Kluyveromyces lactis: one gene and its partner. The protein of the gene in region 1 purifies or fractionates together with the protein of each later gene. This does not show direct contact. Links are inferred from orthologs where the notes say so. Each region holds a gene or a part of one and is shown on either strand. Other genes may lie near its edges. The genes, in order: ESF2 and NOP1.

Region 1 (3,068 bases):
CCTTAGGCCCAAAAGTTTGTTCAAAGGGCTCTGTCTCCAAAATCTTTGCCGTTGGAGATTCAGCGGAATCCTTTTCGTTCAACAACGACATCGGAAGTTTATTTCTTCTCAATAGCACCTGATAAGAATCACGCTTGTTCTCGCCCAAAGCTTCTCTGAAATGGCTCAATGAATCCTGAGAAATAACTCTGGTATTACCAAACCATCTACGGTCAGGAGCCACTCTTGCTGTTGGAGCAGCAGTATCCTGCAACGGAGCAGCCTTGATAATGTCACCCTTTGCATTACGAACAGATCTACCACCTTTGTACATGTTCAAAAACTGCACTCTCTTGGTGTCCCTGTAGAAATTCTCACCCTTCACACGAAGGTTACCATCCTTGGTATTACCTTCGCGGATTCTCCTTTGCTTTTCCTTCTTACCGGTACCCATTGTGCCTTGGTATAGATTTCAATTAGGTTTCCTTTGGTTCGTTCGTTTGTTCGTTCTTTGTGGTAACGAACACGTTCAATTTCGATCGAAAACTCAAACAGATGGAAGAATAAGTAACTGAATGTCTCTTGCCTGGACTGAGATCAACCTGAATCGAAACAAACCACTGATGAACCTGCCTTTGTTCCTGTTCCAATTCATGAGATGAGATGAGATGAGCTGGAAAATTTTTTCTTTTCACTTTTTCTTACACTATGGGAATGAAAAAGAAACCTGATCTTTGACCATGGGAATGGCAGGCGATGAGTTGTACTCTCTGTAGGGCTTTTGGCTTGGCTATATGCTTTATATATGTGTTATATAGTCATCTTAGAATAAACTATGCATGACATCGTTGAGTGCTTTCGATTGCGGTTGGGATTGTCTCTGAGAATCTGGAGCAGATGCTCTTGTCGAAGCGACTTTCCTCTGTTTGAAAGTCCTGCGAACTTCTTCATCGACCTGCTGTGATTCTTGTTGGTTACGTTTCTTGCTCTGTTTCATCTTGTTGACCATCTTTGATTTCTCTACGTTATGGATGAACTCTGCGTTCAACTTGTTGGCCTGTGAGATTTCCAATTGTAGCTTTGCTTGTCTGATATCGTTTTCTCTAGCGATTTGTTCTGTCAAATCGGCCCATTTGAACCCGGGCAAGTATTTAACGTTCATGACGTCGTCATGGTAGAAATTTCCCTTCTTACCACCGATAATATTACCGTTTAGAGTCGATGCGCACAGTTTAGCGTCCTTCTTTCTGATAAACTCGGCCCAACCTTCTTCAAACATCGTTTTCTTGTTCCCACCACTCTTGACACGCTGCTGGTGCTTGTGCTCCTCTTCACGTTTCAAGAACAGACGGTCCACTTCACCGAATCTTGTGAGAATCTGCCTTAGCTTGGCTGGTTTCATGTACGGTGGAACCCTCGATAGGTAAACCACACCGGTCTTGTGTTTCGTCTTCTTATCGCTCTTAAGCTTTTTGAGTCGTCTCTGCTTTTCTTTCTCTATCTGCTGTTCTGTGAGTTGTACTACCTTATCCTCCGGTTCTTCTTCATCCTGTACTTCCTCGTCCTCTTCCTCTTGCTCTTCCTCGTCCTCTTCTTGATCAAACTGAATCACATTCTTCTTCGCATCCTTCCCAGTGATCAACACTTGGTTGTCCTCTTCTTCGTCTGACGCAAAATCATCCACATCGCTGTACTCCTTGCTCATCGTGTTATTGTTGTCCTTAGTTAACCTGCTGAACCTTGTGGTCTGTTGTCTCTTCTCTCATGTATATGGTTCATCTCATCTCATCTCATCTCATCGCTTTAGTTCCAAATTTTTCAGTATGGCACTCACTGTACAGAAGAAATGGGAACCAATCGTACTGGACGACGGACCGATACCACAATGAAGTAACGGGTCTGTAGCCGGTGTTTGCAGCCTGTATGGCCGGAGATCGCGAACTTGATCCATGTCTGCTCTTGCTGCACGCTTGAGCAGCTTTCTCAGTGAGGTGTGCAGGTCTTACATACATATTCTATATAGAAACGGCTTAAAACTACGTCAAAGCAGGAACCTCCCCACTCTCTTGGCGTAGTTCCCTCCGCTTTGCTACCAGAGTTGCCATTGCCATTGCTCATTGCCATTGACATTGCCGTTGTCGTTCCACTGTTATCCGGTTTGTGACAACTGGTGACTGGATTAATAATAACCCGACACGAATGGCAAGAAACCGGAAAAACCTTGTCCGTTCGAGAGATTAATCCAGATATATAAAGGGGAAGTGCTTCCGATATAGATGAACAACACATGTATCCTTGATCTAATTGGCTTGACTTGTTGATTTATAGTCGCCCCAATACAAACAACACACACTCGATATATTTTACAATATGTCTGCACCTTTAAACGTTGGTATTGTAGGTACCGGTATCTTTGCAAGAAACAAGCACTTGCCCACTTTCCAACAGCACAGCGATAAGTTCAAACCAGTCGCATGTTTCAACAGGACCAAGAGTAAAGCAGATGCGTTTGCTGTCACTGCTGGTATCGAGGAGTCTAAAGTTTACGCAGATTTGGACCATTTGTTGCAAGATGATTCCGTTGACGTAGTGGATGTGATGGTTCCTGTTCAATTCAACTATGAGACTGCGAAGAAGAGTGTAGAAGCTGGTAAACCGGTGATCTTGGAAAAGCCGATTGAAGCTAACTTGGAACAGGCTAAGAAATTGGTTCAATTGGCTGAATCTACCGAGCTTCCAGTTGCTATCGCAGAGAATTGGTTACATTTAGAATGTGTGCCAATAATGAAAGAGAAATTGGCTAAGATTGGTCCAATTGCTGCGTTCACTTACAATTCCACTGGTCCCTTCTATCCATCGAGTGAATACCTGGCTACCAGTTGGAGAAAACATCCAGAACACATTGGTGGGTTTTTGTCCGACGGTGGTGTTCATCAACTTGCGTTGTTGACTACTCTATTGGGGGACATCGGTAGCATTGCTGCGTTTTCTAACCAATTGAGAAAGGAATCTGGTACTAACGATATAGTGTTTTCCAGCGTAAAGCTCAGAGACTCGGATGTTATAGGTACGTTTACATATGGGTCTGC
Region 2 (2,991 bases), about 1.3 Mb from region 1:
GGACCATAATCAGACGGTAGATGAACTTATTGAAGAAATCGTTATATGGAACATTTTTAGAATGAAATTTGTCCCTAACTGTTGCGTTTAAAGACAAAAGGTAAACTAAAGAATGGATCAAGATCGGACCCAAATATTCGATGAAAAACACCAGTCTCCAAGAGATCTGCGGACCCAAATCCTTAACATACCACTCGTTAACTGAATCGAACGTGTTTTTCTTACCAACATCGTTCAATTCAGAGGGCCCAATGGCGACTTGCTTACCTTCTTTCAGATAGCTTAACCTTAACCTGTTAACGCTAATATTGTGATTGCTTTTCGAAATCTGTTGCAAAACAGATTGATATGTCAACGTATTTTCTGTTGGAACTTCCAACTTGACGTCTTTTAAGCTCTTTGAGCGTGATTTAATAAAAATTGAACTGGATGCAGACATAAAGGGACACTTATCTAGGTAATATCTTCAACTGTCGGATTAAAATATACAGCGATAGTTTGGAAAATAGGATCTCAAAACTAAACCAGAAAATTTATCCAGATATACTAATTCAGATTCTGATTGCTATAACGTACAAAAGTCAAAGCTGGTTCCACTTCTCTGATTTTTTATCTGCTTTTATAAAGATACCGATATTCACAACAACAACCAAAAATGATCTCATCTGCATATTTTCGCAATGTTGACTATGAAAAACTTGTATAGAAATCCTTAGTAAACGTACGCATTGTAGCAAGTATCTGGCTCAACATAGCAAAAAAAAATCTTGAAAAGTTGTAGATTCATATGATTATATAATCAATTCATATCACGTGATACAGATGTGACAATAGTCATGTGACTTTAACGTTCATCGTTCTGTACGTACCAAGAGGCACAGAAAGACCAAAGATGAGAACTTTGAAAAAGAAATTTAATATTGTTTTTTCATTCAAAATTTTTCAGCTGAAAAAAAAAAGTTTCGAAAGCTCATCTCATCGAATGTAAAGTAAGAGTTTATTAAGTTGTTCTTGCTTGAAAGAAGTAATCAATTGTTTATAGAATAGTATTGTGTACGTTTTCTGTTCCTATAATCTACCCATTTTAGAAGAGTTTTACAGCCGTCCAGGATTCTGTTTCAAAGTCAACGACAATACCTGTTACTGATTCACAATTTTAATTCTTTTTTTTTCCTTTGTCCAATTTAGAGAGAAGAAGATCAAGAGCAGCAACAGCAGCATAATCATTATATCTCAAGACAGATAATTCCCAACTAGTTAAGAATAATAATGGCATTCCAAGCAGGTTCTAGAGGTGGCAGAGGCGGTTCCCGTGGTGGATTCGGCGGTGGTTCCAGAGGTGGTTCCAGAGGTGGATTTGGCGGTGGCCGTGGTGGATTCGGTGGTTCCCGTGGTGGTTCCAGAGGTGGATTCGGTGGTGGTCGTGGTGGTCCTCGTGGTGGCGCTCGCGGTGGTTCCAGAGGTGGATTTGGTGGTGCCCGTGGTGGTTCCAGAGGTGGTCCTCGTGGTGGTGCTCGTGGTGGTGCTCGTGGTGGTGCCCGTGGTGGTGCTAAGGTTGTTATCGAACCTCATAAGCATGCTGGTGTTTTTATTGCCAGAGGTAAAGAAGATCTTTTGGTCACAAAGAACATCGCTCCAGGTGAATCTGTGTACGGTGAAAAGAGAGTTTCAGTTGAAGAACCTTCCACTGAAGAAGGTGTCCCACCAACTAAGGTGGAATACCGTGTTTGGAATCCTTTCAGATCCAAATTGGCTGCCGGTATCATGGGTGGTTTGGATGAACTATTCATTGCTCCAGGTAAGAAGGTTCTATATCTAGGTGCTGCTTCCGGTACATCTGTGTCCCACGTTTCCGATGTCGTTGGTCCAGAAGGGTTGGTTTACGCTGTTGAGTTCTCTCACAGACCAGGTAGAGAATTGATCTCTATGGCTAAGAAGAGACCAAATGTTATCCCAATTATTGAAGATGCTAGACATCCACAAAAATACAGAATGCTTATCGGTATGGTTGACGCCGTCTTCGCAGATGTTGCTCAACCTGATCAAGCCCGTATTATTGCTTTGAACTCTCATATGTTCTTGAAGGATCAAGGTGGTGTCGTTATCTCTATCAAGGCTAACTGTATCGATTCTACTGTTGATGCTGAAACTGTGTTCGCTAGAGAAGTTCAAAAATTGAGAGAAGAAAAGATTAAGCCTTTGGAACAATTGACTTTGGAACCTTATGAAAGAGACCATTGTATCGTTATCGGTAAATACATGAGAAGTGGATTATAAGAGCTGCTAAAGAAATATTGATATTTTGAAACCAATGCTAGAGTATGCCTACTTGGTTCATGATTCCTTCTATTAATCTTTTTTTTTTGGCTTCTAATCTTTTTTTGCTTACTTTTTAGTTTTAAAAACCTTCATTCCAATACAATCATTAACACTATAATATTATTTGAAATTTTGCATCTCATTGATTCGTGATAAAGTTCTACAAACTAGAAAAGTCTCCACTTCGTCTTCACTTGTATTTTGTCACTCTGTGTGTTTCTTTTACTTACAGTCCAGGTCCTTCGCCTGTTCAAAGGAGATCGACTAACTGACGGGAAAAGAATAGAAGAAGATTTCAAAACCTTGTTCATCAACTTGACAATACAAAAGAACCCATTTTCACAATAACGGTATTAATACTCGAACACTCTTAACCTTATTTTGTACATTTAATTTGTAGATATATTATTATTATTATCACATACTATATATAACTTATATATATCAATAACAACCATACGTTCTAGAAAATCATGTCTGGTAGCAGTGAATTAAAGGATATAACCCCATACGGGTTACGATACCATAATACGGTCCATCTGTGCATCTGTTGACAAACTCTTTGTTTCTTTTATCTTTAATCGACATCAAATTGAGACAAAAGTAAAGAAAAGTTCTTGAAATTAATAATTATGATATTTAAGACAACAGTGGTTTTGATATTAAGAGTAA

Evidence for each region.
Region 2: the proteins of ESF2 (region 1) and NOP1 purify together in Saccharomyces cerevisiae (affinity purification with mass spectrometry, with the first as the bait; 3 studies listed by BioGRID). This does not show direct contact. The link is inferred for Kluyveromyces lactis from reciprocal best matches to the Saccharomyces cerevisiae genes ESF2 and NOP1.

What each region holds. Positions count from the first base shown.
Region 1 is NC_006039.1:1,673,034-1,676,101, forward strand, and holds ESF2 (RNA-binding ATPase activator ESF2), read right to left. Parts: upstream 1,685-3,068; coding exon 803-1,684; downstream 1-802. Other genes in the region: putative GTPase NOG2, read right to left, coding at 1-433; KLLA0_C18887g (uncharacterized protein), read left to right, coding at 2,350-3,068. UniProt on the Saccharomyces cerevisiae protein: Involved in the small subunit (SSU) processome assembly and function, and in the 18S rRNA synthesis. Required for the early cleavages at sites A0, A1 and A2. Stimulates DBP8 RNA helicase ATPase activity.
Region 2 is NC_006039.1:400,152-403,142, forward strand, and holds NOP1 (rRNA methyltransferase NOP1), read left to right. Parts: upstream 1-1,269; coding exon 1,270-2,277; downstream 2,278-2,991. Other genes in the region: trans-2-enoyl-CoA reductase (NADPH) TSC13, read right to left, coding at 1-439.